Linked DNA regions of Saccharomyces cerevisiae S288C. The gene in region 1 interacts genetically with each later gene. Each region holds a gene or a part of one and is shown in the gene's direction. Other genes may lie near its edges. The genes, in order: CNA1, VCX1, YKL069W and ATC1.

Region 1 (3,844 bases):
ATTACAGATAATTTGAATAGTTATATGTTTGAAGAAGAAATTAGTCCCGGCGTTGTAAACAACATAATTGAAAATAACATTTGGGTTGGAACCGACATCCGACTATTTAAGATCGCAAACTTCAGAAAAGAATCTTTTTCATTTCTGGAAATGACATCTTCTTTTTTCAAGAAATTTAAATTCATTAATAGCGATAATGACAATTATAATAATAACGAATTTGATGATAATACACAGTTAAGATATACCTCTAGAGGGTTGTATAGATAGACACAAATTTTGACAATCACAAAGAAGAAAAAAGAAACTATTTACATATTTAAACATCTACCTCATGATTATTTATGTACGAAAATTTATAATTTAGTATAATTTAGTATTTTTTGCTTCTTATACTTAGCTTTAACTTAGCTGAACGATTAGACCTTAGCAAACACAAAATATAAAAATATGAAACATAAAAAATACACATGTTGAAGAAAAGTAAAAATCTTCACGTAGCGATGCATTGCCCACCTTTTAAATCTATATTGAAGATCTCCTCTAGAAGTCCAATGTTTAATACGTAACTTTCTTGATATATATTACATATTTTGGATAACTCCACCGAGATTTATCTAATTTTGTTGCTATTTCTTACTGGAAGTGCAAAAAAGCAGCGCACTATCAATTATAATATACAGATTTTGAAGATACTAGTGCTTTCTTCTTCCTTTTGGTTGAACCAATTCAAAACCGTCTTCGTCAACAATTGGTTCAGGTTTAGACGATACTAAGTCAGGTACAACCTCGTCCATCTCTTCATCTTCATCTTCGTCATCATAGTCCTCTACATCTTCATCGTCTTCATCATCATCACCCTCAATATGCACAACTCTTTTTGATTTTTTAGTTCTCTGCTTTTCTTGCCATTCCAAATACAATTTTTCTACCTTATTATAATTTAAATTGAAACAGTCGTTATATATGTTGATGACCTCCACGGCAATCGGTAAAGCCGAGTCGTCTTCAACATTAGTTTCAAATTCATCTATCATTGCATAAAGTAACGTTTCTTCGATTAAAGCGGCGTCAACAACTTTTTCATTTTTGAAAAGGTCTACTACAATCCCTGTAATCCAGTCTCTCTTCTCAGCTGAGTCTGGACCACCCCAACTGTTTTCTACGGCAACATCCAACGCATCCCACTTATAAATAACCATGGAAACACCGAGCTCAAAACGTGCCTGTTGCTTTTCGTCAGAGAACATTAGATTGGTTTTACCTTGCTCAGCCTGAACAAATGCTGTCTCATCAATATATTGTGTGCTCATTGTTCCGTAAGGATTATCACTATAAAAATTTTTCGCAGATTTCTTTGGACTCCACCTTTCTTCCTGTTGCAATAAATACAAACTGTTTGAATCATTTTGATATTCATCTATATCTATTTCAAAATTTTTCATGTCATCGCCTCTTGAAACATGAATTTTCCAATTCTGAAAAAGAACGTACTACTGGGAAACAAAAGGGAAAAATGTATAAATCCTTTAATGTTTTTGAATCAAGAGGCATTATTATAAAAGAACGAAGCAAAGCCTTTAATATTTGCTTTATTAAAGGTATTATTCAAAGAAAAGTTTTTTTAGATTCTTTTTTTTTTGACGTATTAGCTCAGCTGCCATAAAACACTCTCAACGCCAATGTCGAAAGACTTGAATTCTTCACGCATCAAAATCATTAAACCTAATGACTCTTACATAAAGGTTGACCGGAAAAAAGATTTAACAAAATACGAATTAGAAAACGGTAAAGTAATTTCTACTAAGGACCGACCTATCGCTTCTGTACCTGCCATAACAGGAAAGATACCAAGTGATGAGGAAGTATTCGACTCCAAGACGGGATTACCTAATCATTCCTTTTTAAGAGAGCATTTCTTTCATGAGGGTCGACTTTCTAAGGAACAGGCCATAAAAATCTTAAATATGTCAACTGTAGCATTGAGTAAAGAACCCAATCTACTAAAACTCAAAGCGCCAATTACTATATGTGGTGATATTCACGGGCAGTATTATGATTTATTGAAACTGTTTGAAGTTGGCGGTGACCCCGCCGAAATCGACTATTTATTCTTGGGGGATTATGTTGATAGAGGTGCATTCTCTTTTGAGTGTCTGATTTATTTGTACTCCTTGAAGTTGAATAATTTAGGGAGATTTTGGATGCTAAGAGGTAACCATGAGTGTAAGCACTTGACCTCTTATTTTACTTTTAAGAATGAGATGTTGCACAAATACGATATGGAAGTTTACGATGCTTGCTGCAGATCATTCAATGTCTTACCATTAGCAGCTTTAATGAACGGACAATATTTTTGTGTGCATGGTGGTATCTCTCCAGAGTTAAAATCAGTAGAGGATGTTAATAAAATTAATAGATTTCGAGAAATCCCATCTCGTGGTCTCATGTGTGACCTACTATGGGCCGATCCTGTCGAAAATTATGATGATGCAAGAGATGGTAGCGAATTTGATCAGAGCGAGGATGAATTCGTACCTAACAGTTTGAGGGGTTGCTCTTTCGCCTTCACTTTTAAAGCATCATGCAAGTTTTTGAAGGCAAATGGTTTGTTATCTATTATTAGAGCACACGAAGCACAGGATGCTGGGTACAGAATGTATAAAAACAATAAAGTAACAGGCTTCCCGAGCTTAATAACCATGTTCAGTGCGCCAAACTACCTGGACACATATCATAATAAAGCTGCTGTGTTAAAATATGAAGAAAACGTCATGAACATCAGGCAGTTTCACATGTCTCCGCACCCTTACTGGTTGCCTGATTTTATGGATGTTTTCACCTGGTCACTACCTTTTGTTGGCGAAAAAGTTACTAGCATGTTAGTGTCTATATTAAACATATGTAGTGAGCAGGAACTTGACCCAGAATCGGAACCCAAAGCTGCGGAGGAGACTGTAAAGGCAAGAGCAAACGCAACTAAGGAGACCGGCACCCCATCTGATGAAAAGGCGTCATCAGCGATATTAGAAGATGAAACCCGAAGAAAGGCTTTGAGAAATAAGATATTAGCTATTGCTAAAGTTTCAAGAATGTTTTCGGTGCTAAGAGAAGAGAGCGAAAAAGTGGAATATTTGAAAACTATGAATGCCGGTGTCTTACCTCGTGGTGCTCTAGCTCGTGGGACTGAAGGTTTGAATGAAACGCTAAGCACTTTTGAAAAGGCTAGAAAGGAAGACCTTATTAATGAAAAATTACCACCATCTTTATCGGAGGTTGAACAAGAGAAGATTAAATACTACGAAAAAATATTAAAGGGAGCGGAGAAAAAGCCACAACTGTGATAAATCTCATTTTATTCTTTTTTATTCCTATGAGATGCAACATCGAATTCTTGTGCTACTGTCACGATCCGCAAGAGATAATATGAACTAACAAAATACGAAGAAAATATAGATCATTTCCAGTCTATTTCTTGATTTCCATACTTAACTGCGAGCAGAATAAATATAAACACATATTTTTTAGTTTTATTTTATTATTAATGAACCCTAGTTACCAATTAGTTATGTAAACGCTTTTCGTAAGAATGTAAGTTATGAACACCACCTTCTAGTTGAGCAGAAGCGGTTCTAAATTCAAATCTAACTTTACCGCTTTGGACATTTTCCTTTAATAAAGTTAGGGACTTGTAACCAATGTCTTGACAAGAATGTTGTAAACCGTTGTACAAATATGGAATAAATTTCTTGATAGAACCTTTGTCAACGACAGCACCGGAGACACCTTGTGCGACCAAAACACTGTCTGATTCGGAAAAGTAACGGGAGGTAGATGCATTACC
Region 2 (8,800 bases), on another chromosome or scaffold:
GATCAAATCAAGGAAGTTACTGCTAAGATTAAGAAGCTGGGTGATGTCAGACCGCTAAATATTGATGATGTAGACTCCATTATCAAGGACTTCCATGCAGAATTGAGCACCCCACTTTTAAAACCAGTAAATAAGGGTACAGATGACGACAATATCGATATTTCCAATGGGCATGTTTCTAAAAAGGCAAAGGTCACCAAATAGTTTCATTATATATATAGTACACATATTTCAAACATACACATACTGGGCGTTATTAGGTGTTTAAGTACTGGCGATTACCGTAATAAAATTACTATTTACGTCAACTTTATTCAATAAGCTTTTTCTCCTACTCCGATGTTCAATTGAGGCGGTTGCATCTAGCTTGAAGACGGGGTATTTTAATCAATTAATTGAGATCAATGAATATTGACTCTGTGCGATTCCCCACGCTATTATACTCTCACGGAGTATTTCCGTTATGATAATGATCACTATATACGTCAAATGATCGGTTTCTATTTGCTAACTATTTCAAGCATCATTATTATCTTTTAGGGGGCGGCTGGGGAATTATTTATTATATTTAGTTCAGTCGTTCATAAGAAAATTGAGCTCTCCATTGTAGATATTAAGAAGCACTTTCACCCAGTCATCCAACCAAACACGCTATCAATATGTTAAACCGTTGCATTTCCCGTAATACCAGGCTGCCAGTAAACCTAAGAATTGCCTCTCGCTTTTATTCAGATGGTCCTCTCGGTGGTGCCGGACCTGGTAATCCTCAAGATATCTTTATCAAGAGAGAACGTGCCAAAGAGGATTATTATGCCAGACAACAAGAGAGGGAACAATTAGCACATGTGAAGGAACAACTAAAAGAACACAAGAAAAAATTAGAGAATTTAGAAAACAAAATTAATAACCTTTCAAAGTGATTGGTCATTGTTAAGGCTAAAGGTTCTGCAGACACGTTTTGTACGTAGAAAGAAGCAATCATGCCAAATCAAAATTAGGAAATGAACATCAGTGGTATTTTATAAGCCTGCACATTATATATAGTATATACGTCACGAATACAGGAACACCGTCAGTTAGAGAAACGTCGCCTCAGTTTGCTCCTCAGATATTCCTTTAAACCCATACATATCTTACACAAAACATCCGTACATCAGAAGGATTATATGAAACGCAAAAAAAAATAAAATTTTCATTTCTGCGTGTCGCGCGAAGGAGAAATCTTAGAATTGAAACTTCCGGCTAACGGTTGCTAAAACTAGTTTCCAATGTAATACCAAATAAGCATTTGATGTTGAATCTGTAAGCCCCTTCGTGATATTTCAAGGTTAAATTACGAATTGCAGTTTCAGTTAATCTTGGACTAACAAAGAAATCAAACAACTAAGAAGAAAATGTCTGACTCTATTATTTCCTTTGCTGCTTTCATCCTAGCTGATGCTGGTTTGGAAATCACCTCTGACAACTTATTGACTATCACCAAGGCCGCTGGTGCTAATGTCGACAACGTATGTACAAAAATGCAACCTAAAACGACTTTGTGTGACTACGAAGAGAAAGATTAGACAACAATCGTCCCGAGAAATGCGCAATTTTGAATAATGGGGGACAGAAAAATTCCATGTAACGTTTCCCTCTAACATGATGAGATACTAGGGGGCAATACATGTAGAAATATTTCTCCATTAACGTATTTAACGGAAAGCACAAGTCAGGATCGAATTACTTCTTCAAGGATCTCATTTTACTAACAAACTCAACGAATAACGACTCTTCCTATGGAGCTTGTTATATGTATCATTGAATTAGGTCTGGGCTGATGTTTACGCTAAGGCTTTGGAAGGTAAGGACTTGAAGGAAATCCTATCTGGTTTCCATAACGCTGGCCCTGTTGCTGGTGCTGGTGCTGCTTCTGGCGCTGCCGCTGCTGGTGGTGACGCTGCTGCTGAAGAAGAAAAAGAAGAAGAAGCTGCTGAAGAATCTGACGACGACATGGGTTTCGGTTTATTCGACTAAACATACAAGGAAAGTCATTTTTTCTGCAACGTTTTTTTACCCTTTATGTATATATATTTACATATAAAATAAACCTCTAATCAATCAGTATTTAAAAATCGGAAGTAATGTCCATACGAAAGGGCTACGAGAATTTAACCATCTCGTTCTTTGCTAGAAATGGCACTGCGGGATAGCCCCTGGTTGCGGGATATCAGACCTGTCGTCACCATAGCAACCAAAAATTACATAAACCCATGGTTGCTCGCCCTTTGATGGCGACGCCGACCGAAGCTTCTCCCGCGCACATTTTTAAAATTTTTACTCATCGGGAATGAAAGGTTCTTTGACACATGTAAAGCTCCCTAAGTTGGACATACGTCGGTCCTTACAGGCTTAGCAATACACCTATAAGGCACTAGAAACGTATAAAATTTGAGCACTTTAGTTTCTCATCCCTTTTGATACGAAACGCGGGCAAGGCTACGGCATACAGGAATTTAACATTTTGTTGGCTATGGAGCTAAGAAGTAGACGGAGCGCAGAGGCCTATCTTGTCACGCCTGAGGAACCTGCCAAGAATAAGAGTGAACGGAGCATAGAATCCAATGAGAGGGTCGGCACGAGGGAAGCAAAGAGCGAGAACACAAGTGTATTTAGTCCCGCTTACTCTGATACCGCTACTACAGATTCATCGAAGAAAGTTGATGACAATGAATACTACAATTTTACTAGTCACTTCATGCCATCTTTGAAAAACACCAGAGAACTAGAAAACACAATTCTCAATCTCATACAGAGGATAAAGGAAGGGGATGATGAAACGTTAGTTAGTGAGAAAGATCTCATATTAAGTGTGCTTAACAGGTCTTTAGCATCCACATCTCACTGGAAGTTACAGGCCCAGCTATCGGAGTTAAGGGCCACCTCAGAGGGAAGGTATGCAGTTGAGACAAACTTGTTGAAAAAAGAGGTAGAATTTTTAAAAAACAAGACCCCAAAAACCAACGAAAGTGCAAGTTCCGCAGAGTTGAGACCACTTCTTGAACGACCTTTAAAGCGTAAACTGTCATTGCCAGGACTAGCGCAAAGACCATTATCCACTGGCGCTAGGCTAGAAGGAGGATATGGAGGTGTATCGCCGAACTCATGGAAAACCAAAGTTCCAAAACTTCCTCTTCCTGCTTCCCGGCCGTCTTTGAATCTTTCTCCCCAAAAAGTCCCAACGGGTACTGATAAAGTTGAGGAAGATACCAAAATTGACACATTGGAATTAGTAGAGAACAATAAACCGCATCCAAGGATGAGAAGAAGGAGTGACAATCCAGCAACAAACGAATATGTGAGAGTTTTTCATTTGGAGAAAAAAGAACCTAAATCACGAAAAAAATAGTATGCTAGAAAAAAATATTATTGAACGTCAATAATTTTTCTTTCTCATGGGACCAAACACATCATTTATTCTCTAATAATATTCTATTCTCTTTATTTCTGGTTTACTCTTTTAAAATTCTCCAAAGAGAAATATCTCCTTCAATTCTTCAGTTACGAATTTATGTTTACTTTTAACCTCTATCATACACCTTTAATCTAATGCCTCCAACTGTCTGTAATTTTAGTACAACTTAAAAGGGAAATTTTCCGAAAGTGTGAAAAAATTGGATTTTTTTTTCTCCTATTGAACTCAATGGAAGCTATCAGTTTGGAGAGGGACAATTATTTTCCTTCTTGTTTTTTGCCAAGAGAACAATATTGTAGTATTTAAGTTCTAATTTAATGTTATATATACTTATCTAATAGTTTTTTTTTTTCAATTAGATTGTTTTCCTTACGACGTTAATCCCTTGTCATCCTCACTTACGAACTTCGATGAATATGACATACGTAATCGGGAATGTTTTGTAAACTAATTGACGTAGTTCCTTTTTCGTAAACTGGACTGGACGGCTTGATCAAAATTCCCGAAAAATAAAAATTTCCCTCACGAGAATATGGAAATTACTATCGCCCAGCATTATTTTATCTCCTCAGAGAGTAAAAGAAGTTTCCTCTTTCCTAAACTTAAAAAGCAGTCCTAAATATATAGTTGACTTCGACGCATATCATTCATCGGCTGCTGATAGCAAATAAAACAACATAGATACAATGGATGCAACTACCCCACTATTAACTGTTGCGAACAGTCATCCCGCCCGCAATCCAAAGCACACTGCATGGAGAGCAGCTGTGTATGATTTACAGTATATTTTGAAAGCGTCACCCCTGAATTTCCTATTGGTATTTGTTCCTTTAGGTCTGATTTGGGGACACTTCCAACTATCTCATACACTGACATTTCTTTTTAATTTCTTGGCAATTATACCGTTGGCAGCTATCTTGGCTAATGCCACGGAAGAGTTGGCTGATAAGGCTGGTAACACCATTGGGGGACTGCTAAATGCTACTTTTGGTAACGCTGTGGAACTAATTGTTTCTATCATTGCCCTGAAAAAAGGTCAAGTGAGAATTGTGCAGGCCTCGATGCTAGGTAGTCTTCTTTCTAATTTGCTGTTAGTGCTTGGATTATGCTTCATATTCGGTGGATACAATAGAGTCCAACAGACATTCAACCAAACCGCCGCTCAAACAATGTCCTCATTACTTGCCATTGCGTGTGCATCCCTACTGATTCCCGCTGCCTTTAGAGCCACCCTACCTCATGGCAAGGAAGACCACTTCATCGATGGAAAAATATTGGAGTTATCCAGAGGCACCTCTATTGTTATTCTCATCGTTTACGTTTTGTTCTTATATTTCCAGCTAGGGAGCCATCACGCCTTGTTTGAGCAACAAGAAGAAGAGACCGATGAAGTTATGAGCACCATTTCCAGGAATCCACATCACTCTTTGAGTGTCAAGTCATCATTGGTGATACTTCTAGGTACAACTGTGATCATCTCTTTTTGTGCGGATTTTCTAGTCGGTACGATAGACAACGTTGTTGAATCTACCGGGCTATCTAAAACATTTATAGGTTTGATTGTCATTCCTATTGTGGGTAATGCCGCAGAGCATGTCACTTCAGTCTTGGTGGCCATGAAGGATAAGATGGATCTGGCGCTAGGTGTTGCCATCGGTTCCTCTTTACAAGTTGCCTTATTTGTTACACCATTCATGGTTCTTGTGGGCTGGATGATCGATGTTCCAATGACGCTAAATTTCTCCACTTTTGAAACCGCTACTCTTTTTATTGCTGTTTTCTTATCCAATTACTTAATTCTCGATGGTGAGTCAAACTGGTTGGAGGGTGTCATGTCTCTAGCTATGTATATTTTGATTGCAATGGCATTTTTCTATTATCCAGACGAAAAAACCCTTGACTCTATTGGAAATAGTTTATGAGTAAGAACAGTAGCGCAGAAATTCACCATTCTCTTTTTTTTTATATTTTATCTTCTTCGTAATTCTATCGATGGACCAATACAAAGATGATTATGACTAGCAAGTCATTATTATGATCGTTATATTATACATATTATGTTTACGCAACTAATTTTTATATCGAATTTTATCTGAAAAAAAGTTTTCAAAACCAACAAAATATTTTGTACACTCTTCGAAACTCAAATTCTGCACCATTTCCATTCTGATAAAAGGTTTAATATTTCGAAGCTTCTCAACTACAGCTCGTGTTCTTCTTGCAGCACATCAGCTGCTTTGCTGCACTGTTCAGGGTAACGTTATTCATTACAACGAGAATATTTAGGAATTTTGCTCAAATTCATGGAGCTTCCTACATCATTGCACAACAGAATTTCGTTTTGTAGTATAGTTTATTAGAAACAAATGTGAATAGATCATGAGACGCGAAGCCCTATTTTAGCGGATTTTAGCCTTACATTTCTGAGTGAGAATGCCAGCTGAAACACATTCTTGTTACATCTGTCACGGCATTCCAGCTGTAAAAAACCAGCAGATATCGCATAAAAAAATGGCCAGCTATAGAATAAAATTAGCCCAGCTATATTTTTATAGCGTCTTTTGATGACGCGAAAAGTAGACTTCGCGTAACACGAAAAATGCTGGTGCAGGTGGATTTTTTTGGCAGATACTACGGTCAATTCTCCGCTCGAAGATTTTTATAGGCCTGGCTAGTTACCTATTTAGTGCAAATTGGGAAGAGATCTATTGTTCCCGCAGACACGCTAAGTGGTAGCTGTAACTTCGGAGACGTGTGAGACCTTCCTCAAACATGTTACAGGTTGATCGATTTACACATCTAATGCAAGTTTAAGTGCTTCTTAAGTGTTTTTTTCTTTAGTCTTATAAGTTCTCCTTTCTTTCACTTTATAATTCTCCTTTATAAAAGTAAGACCCGGTGCTAAACAACCTGATCCGACAAGAGCAATTTCAATACGGCAGCAACTTTTTACTACAAAAGATGTCAAACTACGAAGCCTTGCTGAAATTCAATAGGAAGGCTGTATCTAAGGAAATGGTGCAATATCTAGCATCGACCACAGCTTCCATTATCAAAATTAAGAAGACGAATAGTATGATAGATATTGCATTGCCAGCACCACCGTTGACTAAATTCATCAACAGACTGATCAAGCATTCTAACGTTCAAACTCCGACTCTGATGGCTACCTCTGTATATTTGGCCAAATTAAGATCAATAATACCGAGTAACGTTTATGGTATAGAGACCACCAGGCATAGAATATTCTTAGGTTGCCTAATATTAGCTGCAAAAACGTTAAATGATTCCTCCCCTCTTAACAAACACTGGGCCGAATATACGGACGGCCTTCTCATCCTAAGGGAGGTTAATACTATTGAAAGGGAACTATTAGAATATTTTGATTGGGACGTCACCATTTCCACAGATGATTTAATTACATGTCTCTCGCCATTCTTGAAGCCTATCAAAGAGGAGCAGTTGTACAAATCGCAAAGAGACTGTCGCACGTTGAAAAATTTTTCTGCTCAAGAAAAAGACATAGTAAACAAAACATCCATTTCCCATTCGCGCTCATCGTCCAATATGTCTATCCCATCTTTAGCTTCCACTTCGACCCTCTCCACGTTGGAATCTAGAAGATCGAATTTATCCAATTATAGTAACAGAATACGAACTTTGCCCGAACTACACGAATCCAATAACATTAGCGACAAGTTTTCTCCGCGAACATACAACATAGACTCCAAACACGATAACAAGGAAAATAGGCCAATACCGACAATTAAGCCTTTTAATTTTAGTAAAGCGCGCCCTGTGATCTTGAAAACTGGGTTAAACAAACAGATAATAAAAGAAGATACAAAAGTAAAGAAATCGAATTGGTCAAATTACTTCAAATCGTGATTTTAAATGTCGAAATTATGCCTGGCCTGCGTTTCTTCATGGCACTTTCGGAAAAGGCGGAAGAACACAGGTAAATGTTCTTACGACCGAGGTCCTACAGCCTCCCTTTTTTCTTATTTTACATATTAATATACATAAATATACCATAATGCATTCTTTTTCTAATGATTTAGCTCTCCTTTTTTTGACAAATTTGAAAATAAATATAAAAAGGGCCATAAAATATTGAGTTAAAATTGACGATTTTTTTTATAGAAATGACTTGAATTTACGATTTAAAATAAAAATATACCTGGCATATAACTAACTATACAAATCATCATCTTCCTCCGCATTAGAACCAAATGCAGCACCTGCTCCACTTGGAGCACTATTATTACTGTTAGCATTGTCCGTAGCCGTAGTACCTAATGGAGCGTCATTAAAGTTGAAATTACTGAATTGACCTCTAGATGCTTTCATTTGCTGTGAGTATGCTTCATAACGACGCAATTCAGCATCTGAAACAGAACGTTTAGCGGTCTTCATAGCTTCTGCGAAATGCTCCTTTGTAATATATGGAACAGGATCTACTTCTGGTTCTTGTTCAGCCTTTGCTCCCTCATCTGTCATTTCCACGTCTTCACCTTCTACTTTCACTTCCTTTTCAGCTTCGTGTTGTCTGTGAGCTTCGATAGAATCCTTGATAGCGTATTTAGCAGCCCTCTGCACAATATAGAGTAAATCAGCACCAGAGAAACCTTGAGTGGCCTTGGCAATCGCAGTTAACTCTAGCCCTGGTTCTAGTGGTGTTTTCCTTAATTGAGCATTTAGAATAGATAATCTAGCGTTTTCATCTGGCAATGGAACATAAATTAATTGATCCAATCTGCCAGGTCTTAAAATAGCAGGATCAATTTGATCTGGCCTATTGGTGGCACCAATCACGAACACATTTTTCTTAGCATTCATACCATCCATTTCTGTTAATAGTTGGTTGACGACTCTATCCGAAGCACCACCAGCATCACCCAAGGAACCACCTCTTGCCTTGGCAATGGAGTCTAATTCATCTAGAAAAACGACGGTTGGTGCAGCTGCTCTTGCCTTATCAAAAATATCACGGATGTTAGATTCCGATTCACCATACCACATACTCAATAATTCTGGACCTTTGACTGAGATAAAGTTGGCAGAAACCTCAGTAGCTACAGCTTTTGCTAACAAAGTTTTACCTGTACCTGGTGGACCGTAGAACAACACACCCTTTGATGGTGATAACCCAAACTTTGTGTATTGGTCTGGATGTAAGACTGGGTATTCTACAGTTTCCTTCAATTCCTCCTTGATTTCATCTAGGCCACCAACGTCATCCCAAGTAACATTGACACTTTCAACAACGGTTTCACGCAATGCAGATGGGTTTGAATTGCCCAATGCGAATCTGAAGTTGTCCATGGTGACTCCTAAAGAATCGAG
Region 3 (8,011 bases), on another chromosome or scaffold:
TAAGTATACAGCAACTTTCATATATTATAGATAGGTAATTGCCTCCACATCGAATCACATAGGATAAAGAACCGACTTCCTGCCGCGAATTTAGAGTTTTCACGTTATGTGACCATCTCAATTTTTAGAATATTTGCTAAGCCACTTGCTATTAAAACTTCATGGACAGGCCCCAGTATTATCGCAATAATACTGGAAACATCAACGAATGCTATAATAATGCGCATTTACTTTGGGCAAAAGAACTATTTAAAATTACGCATTACGTAGTTTATTTTGACATTATGATCATAAACATGCGCAAATCCTAAGATCGTGAATTACCTCTACTGCGAGAATACAAATTATAACATATGACTAACGTTACACAACATTGTATTACATTTCTGACTAATTTGAAGTCTGGGAGTTAATTGTAGTAGCCTACTAAATAGCGCGGTTATTTATAAAGCTAACATTACCATGTTACATGACATGCTATTTCTAGCGAGGTAAAAGCATTGCTCCGGCTTTTCGAAGATAAGTATTCCTTCAATTTCCAAATGTCACAACATAAAATTTTGATTTGCGTTATCTCTCGTTCTCTTTAATCACTACAATAGCATCAACCAAGTCAATAAAACATGTTGTGAAGAGACTACGCAGACGTGACGGTCATCTAGCAACTCTCCATCTTTTGATGCAGCCATCCACAGTTTATCGTGAGTTATGGCAAAATCCAAAAATGTACCGTACCATTTCCTCTTTAATCCTGTATTCAATAAGCAAGTTCCCCATTTCAATTGATCTACACATCACTGCGCGTTAAAGCGCACCTAATTTATTCGGTAGGAAACAGAAATAGTCTGCAAAGTCATTCAAGCACCTTTCTTTACCAAATGAAAGGATTTAATAGTACCTATGAAACAATAGTTCGAACTTTTGCCATTTCCCGGTTTTTTTGGCCAGCTTGTATAAAAGTGCACCTTACCCTTATATTGGGCTCTTATTGAATGCCTTCCGAAGAACTGACTATTCAAAAAATAGAAACAAGTACGTCAATAAAAAATTTTGCAATTCTACGAATAATTATTCCTGTTTCTTTAACCTGGTAAAAAAAAGTACAAACACTTAAGCTTTTTGAAACAGCTTTATTTTGCTTCATTAAATAGCTAGGATAAGAAATCCCTCATCCGAAAGGTTTTGTATCTAACTACCCTAGAGAACATTTGTCCTGATCAGGTTCATTTGGAGTTTATATTTTTTAGAAGCTCAAAGTTTGTTGGACTCATTACCATGGAAGAAAAAAAGAAGATACTACGAAATATTGGTTTCTCAGGTTAAATAAGGGACACCATTTTCCTATTAGGCTAGTCGAGCTTAGTTCTTCTAATTTCTTCAGATCTTCTATAATTTCCTATCTTCTACCTGATGTGTGCATGATATATCTATGAGCTCCTGATATTGCTTGTTTTACTTTAGCTTGCATGACTTGCAATAATCTAATCATATATGTTCCCGATTAATATACTGTGCACAAATTGCAGGACATATAATTTTTCCGTGGATTATATCTTCGATTAACGTCCGCGGGTCTCATAAAAAGCAAACCAACTTCGCAATTCCCTAGAAATACCTCAATAGAAAGTTATTTGTAATGAGATTAGTAATGAGATTAGCAATGAGATTAGTAATGAGATTAGTAATGAGATTAGTAATGTGATTAGTAATGCATAGCGGTATAAATGGTAGTACTAATAAGTAAGATAGTATACCAGTTATAATAAATAGGCGGCGATGCTTCAAAACTAATTTTTGACGTTTTTAAGAATAAAGCCTTTACCAGTGGCATAAATCAGTAGAATTCTAAGCAAACAAAGTCGATATGAATACTTCATCAAGAATAACTTACTTTATCATCGGTGGTAGCCGTGGAATTGGTTTTAATTTGGTCAAAATTTTAAGCGCTTCTACGGGCAATACAGTTATAACCTCTATTCGTGGATCACCTTCATTACCCAAGAACAAACAAGTGGAAGATTTAGCAAAAATCAGGAAGAATATCCATATTGTCCAACTTGACCTTACAAAGGACGAAAGTATTGGCAATATTGCGGACGAGATCAAGAAAACGCCATTCTTCTTGGGTATTGATATTTTTATCGCATGTTCTGCAGTATCTGATTCTTATTACAAGGTCCTGGAAACTCCCAAATCAGTCTGGCTCAACCATTATAGCACAAACGCTCTGGGTCCGATACTAGCCCTTCAAAAAGTTTATCCACTGCTTCTTTTGAAAAAGACGAGGAAGATATTCTTTATCTCTAGTGTTGCAGGATCTATCAATGCGTTTGTACCACTTTCTGTTTCCGCTTATGGTCAATCGAAAGCTGCCTTGAATTATGCGGTAAAGACGCTCAGTTTTGAATTGAAACCGGAGGGTTTTACTGTCGTTGCTTTTCACCCAGGTATGGTATCTACTGATATGGGCCAATATGGCCTTGATCATTTTAAAGAGAAGAATATAGACATCAGCGGCGTAAATATTATCACACCAGAAGAAAGTGCCTCTGCGCTAATTGATGTCTTCCGAAAAATTTTACCAGAAGATAATGGAAAGTTCTTCAACTATGACGGCAGCGAAGGCGTCTTTTAGATAAGTGCAAATTTGGCTACTTATATACAACTCAGATACGGAATATACCTTTGTGTAATACACTTTTTTATTGGTAGGTGCTATATGATGTGACTTTGCTTTTGCCTCACGCCCCTTTAAGAAGGTATTTTGTGGCATCACTTTGTATGCTGATCTTTTAACGCTTAACCAGATTTGAAACTATCTCTATTATGTCCTCTGATTTTAATTAGGATGGTATATAACTGGTCCTAGAACCGAAGATTCTGCATATTCGCCGAAAACCATCCCTTAATATTATAGACATAAATTGCCAGTCTGAGAAGAATCCAAGAATCTATTTCATAATGTACATTCCTAAACATTTTGAGTCCATGGAACTCTCAAGGTACAAATTATCAAAAAAACCCCCGCTAGGAACACTATTCTCCTCTAAGGCTAGCAGGCAAGGTTTCTTCGGATGGAGAACTTCTTCCAATAAAGATGACCCCGATTTTGGTATGTGCGCATCACATATTCCATTTGTATTCGTGGAGTTCGATAATGGAGAGCATAAACTTATTGCACATTTAGCACGGAAGAATAAACATGTGGAAATGCTGGAAAGAGTTCAAAAATGCTTAGTGGTATTTCAGAGCGTCGATTCATACATTTCTCCGGCGTGGTTCCCAATGAAGAAAAAGACCCATAAGTTCGTACCAACATGGGATTTTGCCGCTGTGCACGTTTACGGTACACCAAGGATTATCCGCGACGATAAAGACTGGCTTATTAATATGTTATCAACTTTGACTGACCAAGAAGAAGAGAAAAGACCTGAGGGGGAAAATGTACGAAGTAAAGTGGAGCGTTTCTGATGCCCCAGATTATTATATCAATGCTATGCTTCAAAACATTGTCGGGCTTGAAATCAGTATTACCCATATTCAATCAAAGTTCAAATTCGACCAAAATAAATCACAGATTAATGTTGAAGGCATATGTTGAAAATTCAAAGAATTTGGTGGAGAAAGAGGCCAAGAAATGGCTCGCCTTGTAAAAGATAACTATCCAGGTAGCTTATAAGTTTTGTATTTTCTCTGCGCATTAAATATCAATAATTATTTATTCGTTTTCATTCTTTTCTTATCTTATCTTTTAATATTGACTTAACAGAGGGCAAGGCCCACCGTGATGCAGAAAGAACACAAACGCAAAGGTTTACCTATTCCCTGCAGTTAGAAAACCATGTTTGGAGGAAATGAAGAAAGATATTTACAGTTGAGTTTACAACGAAGTATTATCCTTTTTAACGAACGCTAATATCATCGGTTTCTTCATGTTTATATGATGACGATTTTCCCAAATGTAAGCAAACAAAGGCGTTTGCTGATAAAACAAATCCGTAAATTAGAAAAAAAAACAAAAAAAAACAAACAGATATGGGCTCATCAACCGGGTTTCATCATGCCGATCATGTTAACTATTCTTCAAATCTGAATAAGGAAGAAATTCTAGAACAGCTTCTGCTTTCATACGAGGGGCTATCAGATGGACAAGTCAATTGGGTTTGTAATTTGTCAAACGCTTCGTCATTGATCTGGCATGCGTACAAGTCATTAGCTGTTGATATCAATTGGGCTGGATTTTACGTTACTCAAGCTAGCGAAGAAAACACACTGATATTGGGCCCATTTCAAGGAAAGGTCGCTTGCCAAATGATTCAATTCGGTAAAGGTGTTTGCGGAACTGCAGCCTCTACAAAGGAAACGCAGATTGTTCCAGATGTCAACAAGTATCCCGGTCATATTGCGTGCGACGGTGAAACCAAGAGCGAAATTGTTGTTCCAATCATATCCAATGATGGTAAGACATTGGGCGTCATAGACATAGATTGTTTGGATTACGAAGGATTCGACCACGTAGACAAAGAATTCCTAGAAAAACTTGCTAAATTAATTAATAAATCATGTGTCTTTAAATAAGAGTTTTGAGAACGAACAAGTATTTACGCACATAACCAATATTCCCATGTAGCTCTCTTGTCAAATATATTGTCGGACGGGCACGAATAGAGATAAACATCAAGAAAGATTGAGGGGCTTCAGGAGATCATTGGTGAAGAAAACATTCCCTGTTCGCCAAATTGACAGCTCTCAATCTTTATTTGTAACCCTTATTGCAAATTTATGGCATGTTTACCCTCAAACAAAGGATATTCAGCATTTATTAAAAATATCTTTGCTTGGTAAGAAAAAAACGTCAACGAAAATGACGGAGATATCTGACGGAAAAAAAAATTGATTTCGCCCAGGATCGAACTGGGGACGTTCTGCGTGTTAAGCAGATGCCATAACCGACTAGACCACGAAACCACTTAATTGTTGAATAACGGACATCTAAAGTCATATCTATAGTGCAGCAAGTTCTTCTTCAGCTCACCCCAGTCTCGCTAAAGGCATGCTTACTTTGCCGTAAAGAAGAAAGGAACGTTCAAAATGTGTTTGATGCGTAACTGTGATGATTTTCTATCATTTACTTGCATGATATCGGTGAAAATTCTAGCTAGATTTATCAATGCATAGAAGCAGTAAGTGATGCCACAGATATGAGCTTTTCTCTGTGGCGAGGTCTTTGAGAAATTAAGTGGCTTGTACAGTTTTCACATGACGATTGGAAATGTTGAAAAAAGAGCCTAAAAATAGGCCTTATCGAACAACATTAAACTAATAATCTTCTGGATGCGATAGTCTTACTTGATAAAAATCATTGGCGATATTGTGTTACCTGGATTATCAAGCTCGCCACTAAAGGTGTCTGGATCCTTACTCAATACAAAGTCCAAGGAAAGGTGTGCCACAGGAAGAGGTAGCATCCCTTTATTTCTTTTCAAGGAAAGAAGCATTTTCAATCACATATGTATACAATAGTCTTCCGTGTGGCTGCACCGCACCACCTTGCAGGTCCCGTGTATGTAGGAGTCGCATGCGAATAAAAAATTGAGAAAGATCATGGGGTTTTTTGTTCACGCGGGCCGCAGTTGTGGCTCCTCTGTCACTTTTTTGCCCTCTGCTAAGGGCAAAAAAGAAAAAAAAACGCAACGAGAAAATTAAAAGTGTGGCATTTCGACATCTATCGCCATTCGTGCGGCCATTTCTCGAAACAACGCTAAACTTTTGTTTCGACTGTGAGGCCCTAGAACAGTTCGATTCTGATGTAGGCAATGGAAGAAACAATCATATATAACTACAGAACCTAATGTTACATGCTTGCATCTCTCAGCTCCCGCGAATTTTCAAGTGAGACTTAATGGTAGCCATCTAGTAACTCATAAATCAACGACATTATATATCATCAACTACAATGCAGGCAAACCATTCCGTCAGTTACCTTTACGAATCAAGTACTTCAAAGAGGTCAAATGGGCTCTTTTCTCAAACACAAAAGCAAGGAAGTTTTCAAAAAGCTTTAAGTCAAACTCAGGAAGAAATAGAAGATGAAGACCTGATGGTAGACCTCAACACAGGATCTTTAACTCCCGTTAAGTTAAAATATTGGACTCAAATGAGTGCTATGACGGAAAAATTTGGTAAACTGTGAGACCAATTTTGGCGGTAATTTCGTTTAGCTGTTTTATTTTCACATTTTTAATTGTCAATGCTGGAGGTTGTTAAAGTTTGGCTAGCTGTTCTGAACAATCCTTGTATACCGGTGAGACTTTTTGTTATAGATATTGGCGATATTCATTTTTTAGGAAGGTGTTTTTATAGATTTTTCAATTTTTTTTGTGTAGATGCATGTTTTGATTACTTATGCATAGTACGAATTTTTAGTTTATTAAGCTATAGAGGTTTTTTTTTTTTTCACCTCTTTACCACAAATTTAATAGCTATTGTGTAGAATAACTTTTAATGGAAAACATTTGCAGTATTTTAGTATTTTTCTACCTGTTTATTGCAAGTAAGGGCAGCATTATCCTGATAGGAGTAGAGGTTAACCGCACATCGGAATGAGACTTCTCCAAGAACGTTCTCAAAGTAAAACATTTAGCATTAGGAAATTTCTTTGGTCGATTATTAGACAAAGATTAGATTGTATTATGTTCTGATGCTTAGTTAGAACGGAAAGTGTTACCCATCTTGCAATCACCGTGACACCTTAAATATTTGCCGTAAGCGAAGAAAAAAAGCATGAAAAAAAAAAGCATATTTATGCTGAAGTCATCTACAAATGACCACCGCTTTTGGACCTGAAGAGGAGAAGAAAATAACATATCGTAGAACAGTCTTTGTTAACCAAAATATTTTAGCTTTGATTCCGGACTATTAGTACATTGAATTTTTTCAGGTACTAACAATGTTTGGCAACAATAGACCAATGTTTGGAGGGAGCAACCTTTCCTTTGGATCAAATACGTCATCCTTCGGTGGGCAACAATCGCAACAACCAAACTCTCTTTTTGGAAATAGCAATAACAACAACAATTCCACCAGTAACAATGCCCAATCAGGATTTGGTGGATTCACTTCTGCCGCTGGCAGTAATAGTAACAGTTTATTTGGAAATAACAATACTCAAAATAATGGGGCATTTGGCCAGTCAATGGGTGCCACCCAAAACTCACCATTTGGGTCGTTAAACTCCTCAAATGCCAGTAATGGGAACACTTTTGGAGGATCCAGTTCAATGGGTTCTTTTGGTGGTAATACCAATAATGCATTTAATAATAACAGTAACAGTACCAATTCCCCGTTTGGTTTCAATAAACCGAATACAGGAGGGACCTTGTTTGGTTCGCAGAATAATAATAGTGCAGGTACTTCTAGTTTATTTGGCGGCCAAAGTACAAGTACCACTGGCACATTCGGAAACACCGGAAGTAGTTTCGGAACAGGCTTAAATGGCAACGGCTCTAACATATTTGGGGCAGGGAACAACTCACAAAGCAATACTACCGGCAGCTTGTTTGGCAACCAACAATCTTCAGCGTTTGGGACAAATAATCAACAAGGAAGTCTATTTGGACAGCAATCTCAAAACACCAATAATGCGTTTGGTAATCAAAATCAGCTGGGGGGCAGTTCCTTCGGATCAAAACCAGTTGGTTCAGGGTCGCTGTTTGGCCAGAGCAACAACACTTTAGGTAATACAACCAATAATAGAAATGGATTGTTTGGTCAAATGAATTCCAGTAACCAAGGCAGTTCTAACAGTGGATTGTTTGGACAAAACTCGATGAACAGCAGCACTCAAGGGGTATTTGGACAAAACAATAATCAAATGCAAATTAATGGCAATAACAACAACAGTTTATTTGGAAAGGCAAACACCTTTTCAAATTCCGCATCAGGAGGTTTATTTGGCCAAAATAATCAACAGCAAGGGTCCGGGCTGTTTGGTCAAAATTCTCAGACAAGC
Region 4 (8,298 bases), on another chromosome or scaffold:
ACTTGAAGTACACATACACGCTCTCCCTCGCATCCCGGAGCTCGCAATCAACCACTATTACTAATCACATCCTAAATTTTGGGAAGCCTACACTACGATGGACACTGTCGGTACGGACGCAGCAGCCGCGAGCATTAATGAGCGTCGCTTTGCCCAGTCCACTTCACCAAAAGTTAGTGTGAAGTCACAGGACTCGCTGTTTCTGATCACTTACTCCAACATGCAGCAGACAGTGGTACAAGCGTCTTTGGCGGACCGGTACCCTTCGCTAAAGAAGCTTAACATCCTACTTTACATAGATATCCCTACGATCGACTACTACAACGATGAGATGACTCATAACAAGCTTTCCAGACTGAATAAACGGTTTAAGCTGCATCGGCTTAGAAATTCGATCGCGCAAAGTTTTTCCAACACATCTACTGCGGAAGATAACGATAAGTTTTGGGAGGAGTTGAAAAGTCTGATCAGCTCTCGCAGCACACCGGAAAACAAGTTTGATCTGAATGTACTGGTGTCGTCTTCGGGGTCTTTACGTTACGTGGAGACCATAAGATTTTTGGTTGAAAAATTGTTTAATTCTTTCAAAGACTTGTATGTTCAAAAGAAACTAAACCTATGTTTCCAGATCAACGTTTCTCCCACCTCTCTCAAGTGGTTTTCTACTTTCCTGAACGCAGAACTGCTTAATTTAAAAATCATTAATTGGCAGAATATTGGTTCTTTCACTAAGACAATCCAGAACTCCAAGTCACTCCCGTTCAAAGAGTACTACACCAAGTTGAACGAGAAATTCACCGGCTCAAACCAGAGCAATGGTAGCATGCAAGACCAGACTGTCTTGGATTCCATAGTTATTGTCACGAATAGCACGGGGGTAAAAGCACTGCTGACTTTGTTGTCAGACCACCCTCTCACCAGCCTTATCTCCCAGGAATCAATAAAAGCGCTACATGAATATTCAGATGCTGTTAACGAAGATAAGGGCGACGACCAGAGCAACACAAGTTTGAAAAGAAACTCTTCGTCGTTGTTGAATTTTCAAAACTCGGTTTTAACCTCCAATAAAGACAAGTCCGTCAGAATTAGGTCGTTGTCTATCAACAGAAAATCCAACAGGGCACATATGTTCAAAACGAACGAATCCATCACAACTATCCCATCAACGTCAATCAACAATCTTATTGGTCAGGAATCCAACCTACGCAAGCAGCCTTCGGGAACTGCACTGCATTTACAATCGCATCTGCATCCACATTCCCGTTCACAATCCTATTCTAGTTCTAATATGTCCAGATCGCCTTCTCCCTTCCCCTACGGAAAGACACCATCAAACGACGAACTAGTATATGACGAGTTAAACAACCAAATCAACGAAGTGCAAGACCGTGCTAAGAATGAGGAAATTGTCCTGTACAACAATAATAATTATGACGATTATACAAAAGAACGAGGGGAACAAGAGCAGGATAGAACCTCATACGCAGATGAATATGGCTTTAATTACGATGATGAAGAAGGTGGAAATGAAGACAACTATGATGATGATGAAGACGATGATGACGATGATGACGATGACGATGAGAGTGACGATGAAGGTTTGAGCTTTTACGCTCCAAGCATTTTGTCCCGCTCTGGTTCGAGCACAGACGTGTTATCCTCCGGAATAGATTCTATGGCAAAAAATTCGAAGGAAACAAGGGGTAGGTTTAGGTCCTTGAGTTTAATGGACCCTGCTCTGCAAAAGCCGTTCAACCAGAAATTTCCAAACAGCCAACAACCCGATTCTGCAGGGGCTTCATCACCTAAAAGATCGACCTCTTCAAACCATTTTACTAACGTCTACGTGCACGATGGTGATTTTGACGGGACAGACACTATCAACAACAAAAAGAATCTATCGTCTGCAACGCTTATTAAAAGGAAATCTTTGATGAACAGAAACTTGGCTCCTTCTATTAGTAATGGATTGATACCTCCGGAATTTATTTCCCGAATATCTACGCCCTCTACAAGCGCAAGTAGTTCAAACTCCTCGTTGAATGACATGTCTACAGTATCAAACGCATTTTCCAAATTATTAAATGACACAAGTAAGAAGCAAAAATTCTTGAATTCACCAATTCCACAACATACACAACAGGCATCTCCATTACTAATGAGAAATAATTCAAACAGTAACTTGCTATTTGAGAAGAATTTGATCAACAAGTCATTTGAAGAACTGAGAAGACAACCATCAGTTAACCTTTTTAGCACCTTGATGAATGGTAACATGGAAAAGAATGGTTTGGCACTAAACTTCAAGTCCAGAACGCCTACAGATGCGTTGATGGCGAATAGCATTAAAAATAGTAACAATTCCAGTCATAGGTTACTAAATCTCGAGGAAGAAGACCAAATCATGTCTGGATCTCTCCCCAAAGAACGCGAGGACGATAACGATTCGACTAATAGCACAATAGTACCGAATCACCCAGACAATGATAACTATAATGATAATGATAACGACAATAATACTGGTATAAATTCCAATAATTTCAATCTAAATCTCTATGATGACAATGATAGTGCAGGCTTTACAGATGTAACAACTGAAGGAGTGAAATACTCAAACTCGAATTCTACAGTCACCAAACCCGTTTATAAAAAAGCCGTCACCCTGGATTTATACGGCGAAGATGATATGGATAACATGGGAGGATGGGTATTAGGAGGTAATGCCCGGTAAAATAATCACCTGAAAAAAACTAGGTTAAGCACAAGGCAAGGGAAAAAGCCAAATTACACATATACTTGATTATAAATAGATTAGTAAAACATATATTCTAAATTAAAACAGCACTTTAACCGATATTGTATTTTTTTTTTTGGGTTTACGTGATACTGCGTAAATCTTCAATTTTCAGGGCTTTGTCCGCAAGGGGCCCGTTTATTTATCAAAAAAAGTAATGAGATTTTCGAAGAAAGTTCATAAACCTATAGATCTTGTTACATTTGGCAAGAAAACAATAAGTGGGATCTGCGGTCCAAGCAACGCATTTTCTTTTCTCTAATCGACAAGTTCAAGTAAATATTTCTATTAGTCATATATCTCTCGAGCTTATATATTAATAATGAAATCATTTCAAAAATCTTATGAATTCGATTACCCATGGGAGAAAGTCACCACGGCGAACTGGATGAAATATCCAAACAAGATCTCCACACACGTTATTGCAGTCGATGTGCTCCGCCGAGAGCTCAAAGAACATGGCGATGTACTTCTTACAGAACGGCTGATAACCATACGTCAGAACACCCCTCACTGGATGTCCATTTTAGTGGGGAACACTAATTTAGCATACGTGCGAGAGGTCTCCACCGTTGATCGAAGGGACAGATCTTTAACTATGAGGAGTTGCAATATGACCTTCCCGCATATTTTGAAGTGTTACGAAACCGTACGTTATGTTCCTCATCCGAAAAATCCATCGAATGTGACTCTTTTCAAGCAGGATGCAAAGTTTCTGTCTGGTGTTCCGACCAAAACCTTTAGTGAGAAAGTAGAAAACTGGGGCGTTAAACGTTTTAGTGATAACGCGGTGAAGGGGAAAGTCGGGTTTGATAGTATTCTAGCAATGTTCAACGATATCTGGAAAAATGCTAACGAATAAAAAAAAATACATCTTTTCTCAAGCATTTTTTCTCAAGCATTTTTTCTCAAAAAAATAAGGATTTATAGCCTCTTTGCATATAACTACACTCAGAAACTCAAAAATAAGTGAATAGATTAATTTGCCAAAATAGTTTCTATAGCGTGTCTTTCTCTTTTTGCAAACTCGTGTCATCTTGATATAAATCAAATATTTTCTGTCATTTTTTTTTCTCTTTTTTTTCAGTTTCTAGAATTTTTTTTTTCCACTTTAGCGATGAGATGAAAAATTTCCAAAAAACATGCGGTACGGTATTTTCAATGAAAAATTTCAGAGGGCTAGTGCCCTATTGAAGAGCTCAATACTTGATTGAAGTTTTGACATCTTAAATTTTGTTGGTTCAAGTTACACTAAGGTTGTGATAGGGAAAACGTGAAGATAATGAACACGAATCAGTCCAATCCGAATACAGATTTAACAGATGATGCCAATATAGAACATACGTTGCATCGGCTGCTCACTCAGGCAAATAATCATTTTGATGATACAGTAAAGATTGATGGGCAGAGTTTAGATTTGGGAAAGGATCTCGAACAAGTTATGATGGATAATTTAGACTGCACTGATATTTTTGATTCCGACATCGCTTCTCAGAAACACCTAACATTGGAATCTTTATTTAACGATGAACACAACACCGATTCGAGCACACTTTTGGAAATGCAGAGAAGTGCTAATGATAGCCTAGTTGGTATTGATCTCGATAGGCATAAAAAGGGTTATACTGGCAAGGCATCATTAGATAAAAGTACAAACCAAAATAACGTACATAAACCTGATAAAGAACAAAAGAACTATAAGATAGATAAACCCACCATCAAGAAGAAAAAATCCCTTTTGAAAACCACAAATGAACCCATGTTATCCCCTGCATCCCTATCACCTTCATCTTCGTTAGCTTCATCCGACGCTAATGAATCCCACCTAAAAATAGAATCCATGATTACTGATATAACATCTAAAATAGATTCTGCAAGACAAGACATTGTATCTGCAACGAAGCCTGCTAAGTTCACAAATGAGTTTACAATAAGTCAAATTTCGGAAATGAAGGCAAGAATAATTAATACTCATAAATTGCTGCTCAATTTCAATTTTATTAAAGAAGGTTACGCGAGATCTTGTATTCAATTGAAAAAATCTATGGACTCTTTAAAGGATAGTGAAATTCACAGAGCACATTTATTGGTTGAGAATGATGACTTGAAGCAACAAATCCTAGAACTTACTCAAAAACTCAATGAAAAATCATCCAAGGAAAGTTAAATTTAGAGTTAGTTCTGCTAAGTTTATCTGCATTTATTGGTTTTTTTGTCTTTACTACAAAGATGGTCCAATTTTATATACAATATACACTACCTTTCTCAGTCATCGTTATTCGTACTCAACTTTTATTATTTTAAGGAACACAGTCGCATTTTTGAGTTTCATGTATAAACATTACTATACGCATATTTCGTATTTAACTTTCTATAAATCCCCCAAAACGTTTTATTAAATTTTCAACGGTACGCTCGAATAACCGATTTAGTTTGAACAGGAGGAACCATTTTCGCTCATGCGTATGGCTTAAAAGACCATCGAGTCATTTTTAGTAGGGAGGTAATGGTTATTTAGTTATATATCTAAATCACTATCACTTTCACTTCTATCATGATTTGTAGAAGCGAAGCGTTCCGTATTCACAGATGAATGCTTTCTTATTTCGAATGTGTCTTCTATAACACCTGAATGGGCTAAAGATTGCTCTAGCCTCCTAATATCAAACCCATTAGGGTCATTTCCCAGTTTACTAAATCCTACGTAGCGAACTTTTTCTAGGCCATTCTTGTATCCAACTACAAACGGAAGTACTTTAATATTCAGTTTATTAACCAAAAATGGACATGTTTGGACGTTTACTTTAATAAATCTCGTGGTTAGATACCTCTTTGCCAAGTTTTCCAGTTTTTCATTCATATACTGGCACTTACCGAATGTTTCTAATTCAAAATGTATGACCACCATAGTAGTCTTTGTACATATTTGGATAGCATCTGCCTCGTTATCAATGCACTGCAATCTACCGTATCCGTCATCCTCAACATTCTTCTTGACCTGTTTTAAATGATCTGATATTTGTTGTAGCCTCTCCGACCGATAAGCACTCAAAAATTCATGATCCTCGTCTAATTCTCTATCCAATTCATTAAGTAGTTCATCTAAATTTTCCTCGCCACTACTTTTGTCATCGCTATCGACAGTTGTGTGTTTATCCTTTTCAGCATTTGAAAGCACATTTGTGTAGTATCTGTCTAATTTATCTTCCATATTAATTTAATCTTCATATACGTATGAGTTGTTAAGAGAATGGAGTATTTTCGTTAATCTTTTGTACTTCATCCTACTTTCGTGTTTTTTAAACTCTAAAAATTACACTACTATGATCACTATATTGCTATGGAATAATAAAAAGCAAAAACGAAAGATTGAAAGGAAAGTCGTCCTTTTGTATCCATCTTTTAAACAAAGCTTACAAAGAAATTTGCCGTCATGACTTGCTAAATTTGATATAAAACTAAAGGAACCAACAACTTACCTAGGTGTTCTTTTTTGTCCCCGTATAGTGAAGTAATTGGTGTTACGCCCAGTCCTGCAGTTTTAGCTTGGACCACAAAACATAATGCAAATCCAGTAGAGGTTATGCAAACTGTTTGGTGAGCATAGTAATACCACACCCGGTATAATTTATATCTCTTGTTCATTGTCTGTATATAAGGTGTATTCGCATATATTAAATAGCCAGACGTTTCCCTTCAAAGCATTTTGATCCTGGAAGAGAATAGCAGTAATTCTGTCTAGACTACAGTATAAAAATAAATAAAAATGGGCATCACAGAAACAAAAAGGACAATTGCATTAACTAGAAATTGTTTGATCGAACGCGTATCATTCACAGCGTATTTACTATGTGTCAATGATTTTTTGGATTTCGATTTGGAAATACTTGTAGGTAATGGCAAATCTGAGGTGTTACCATCAGGTCGTGTAAATACTCTGTTCATTATGGTTGCTACGCGATTATTAAAAGATTTTGGGAAAAAATGCATGTATGCGATAAAGGCAGCAGAGAATAATAATCCCCATAGGTACATTCTGATTGCCTTATAGGGATCTGGCATATAGCATAGCTCTGTTTGGTAAGTTTTTGATGCATACTCTCCGCCGGCATTTACCATTGTCAAATCTGAAGGATTATATAAGGAGAGCAATTGAATAGCAGGCCTACTGATCCCCATGTTCATTGCACATGACTTTACTGTAATTTCTTGAGCATTTTTAGTTTTCCCCTGAAACGGATATGAGTGTGATATCTGACAATGGTCATGATCATCCCCGGAAAATAATATTTCTGGTTGAATTTTCGTTAAAATTTCTTGTGATATATCGTTTTCTATAACTGTCTGGTACTGGTGCCCTTTCTGAATAGGAAAAGGTTCTTTGGATTCACGTAGCTGACCGCACGTTTGCTGTTCTGGATCCCTCCATAATGGAACGTGAGTTAAAAGAATTCTAGGAAGCGGATGTGAACCCATTGCAAAATTATCCAAAAACTGTCTAGGAACCCTCGAGACATTCGGATTTGTTTTATCAGAAAGCGAAATTGTATCTAAAAGTACAAAGGTATGATTTCCAGCGTCTAATGAGGAGGAAGTTTCTCCAAAGTAACTAGAAAATCTCTGTAAACTCGATTCAACAACTGTGTCTCCAAAACCAATATCGTGATTACCTGGTAAAGACATGACCGTTCTTCTCAGTGGCTTCTTGGGGAATATTTGGTTGAATCGTGTGTACTCTTTAATCCATTGCTTATCATCCCAGTTTCTCCCTCCATCAAATAGATCACCTAGGAAAAAATTGCTATCAGGATCCAAGTAATACTGGACATATTTCCAATTTCTCCTGTGATAATGGTCAACAATCACTCTTGTAAAATAATTAACTATTTGAGGCCTCCCAGGATATGAATATTCGTCCATTATTTGTGGGTCTGCAAATAAACCCACCCTATGACTTTCAGCGCCTTCAGGCCAATCCTCCCAAGTCGACCATTGGCACTTCTTCATTGCTCTCTTCACAACCACTGATTCATAATAAGATATTAATCCTAACCATAAGATCCATACAATAGATATGTATCTCCAGTAGATTCTTAACCTCTTCTTGCTCCTGCTTTTTGATTTCTTTTTCGAACGTGATTTATAGTGGGCCTTATCGTCGCTCTTCTTGCTGTGTGTAGATAAAACGCTCTTTGACCTGTTACGATATACCATACTTCCTAGAGCTTATTGTCTAATGTATCCAACAGATTAGTAGAAGCGGTACTGTTTTCCCTTTCTTTTTGGTTATTGTTGTTTCCATAATCGTTCGTTCTACATTTTTAAAAATAAGAAAATCTAACCCGCGAGTTGATTTCAGCGATCTCAAAACAAAAAGTAGCAAGATTAAAAAGGAAAACCGAAAATTTCTACAGCATTAAAAGCATATGAGAGTTCATCAATGGGTATTTTTCAATCAATAGAAGAAGCAAATAATACTTCTGAGAGATTGCTGAGGTCTGAGA

Evidence for each region.
Region 2: of CNA1 (region 1) and VCX1, extra expression of one rescues a mutant of the other (dosage rescue), as found in Saccharomyces cerevisiae (one study listed by BioGRID).
Region 3: mutations in CNA1 (region 1) and YKL069W together harm fitness more than expected from each alone (negative genetic interaction), as found in Saccharomyces cerevisiae (2 studies listed by BioGRID).
Region 4: of CNA1 (region 1) and ATC1, extra expression of one rescues a mutant of the other (dosage rescue), as found in Saccharomyces cerevisiae (one study listed by BioGRID).

What each region holds. Positions count from the first base shown.
Region 1 is NC_001144.5:1,003,847-1,007,690, reverse strand, and holds CNA1 (calcineurin catalytic subunit A), read left to right. Parts: upstream 1-1,682; coding exon 1,683-3,344; downstream 3,345-3,844. Other genes in the region: ECM30 (Ecm30p), read left to right, coding at 1-270; TSR2 (Tsr2p), read right to left, coding at 696-1,313; IMP dehydrogenase IMD3, read right to left, coding at 3,563-3,844. UniProt on the Saccharomyces cerevisiae protein: Calcium-dependent, calmodulin-stimulated protein phosphatase. This subunit may have a role in the calmodulin activation of calcineurin.
Region 2 is NC_001136.10:228,512-237,311, forward strand, and holds VCX1 (Vcx1p), read left to right. Parts: upstream 1-4,140; coding exon 4,141-5,376; downstream 5,377-8,800. Other genes in the region: homocitrate synthase LYS21, read left to right, coding at 1-204; STF1 (ATPase-binding protein), read left to right, coding at 660-920; ribosomal protein P1 RPP1B, read left to right, coding at 1,395-1,508, 1,810-2,016; YDL129W (uncharacterized protein), read left to right, coding at 2,513-3,388; cyclin PCL2, read left to right, coding at 6,416-7,342; AAA family ATPase CDC48, read right to left, coding at 7,646-8,800.
Region 3 is NC_001143.9:303,250-311,260, forward strand, and holds YKL069W (L-methionine (R)-S-oxide reductase), read left to right. Parts: upstream 1-4,035; coding exon 4,036-4,578; downstream 4,579-8,011. Other genes in the region: OSI1 (Osi1p), read left to right, coding at 1,865-2,635; YKL070W (uncharacterized protein), read left to right, coding at 2,962-3,471; YKL068W-A (uncharacterized protein), read left to right, coding at 5,957-6,193; FG-nucleoporin NUP100, read left to right, coding at 6,950-8,011. UniProt on the Saccharomyces cerevisiae protein: Catalyzes the reversible oxidation-reduction of the R-enantiomer of free methionine sulfoxide to methionine. Does not act on S-enantiomer of free methionine sulfoxide or R-enantiomer of dabsylated methionine sulfoxide.
Region 4 is NC_001136.10:827,292-835,589, reverse strand, and holds ATC1 (Atc1p), read left to right. Parts: upstream 1-4,076; coding exon 4,077-4,961; downstream 4,962-8,298. Other genes in the region: SND1 (Snd1p), read left to right, coding at 98-2,731; UPS3 (Ups3p), read left to right, coding at 3,117-3,656; PLP1 (Plp1p), read right to left, coding at 5,313-6,005; YDR182W-A (uncharacterized protein), read right to left, coding at 6,236-6,439; putative lipid phosphatase CDC1, read right to left, coding at 6,533-8,008; SAS4 (Sas4p), read left to right, coding at 8,235-8,298. UniProt on the Saccharomyces cerevisiae protein: Involved in cation homeostasis and in the regulation of the cation stress signaling cascades. Also involved in bipolar budding.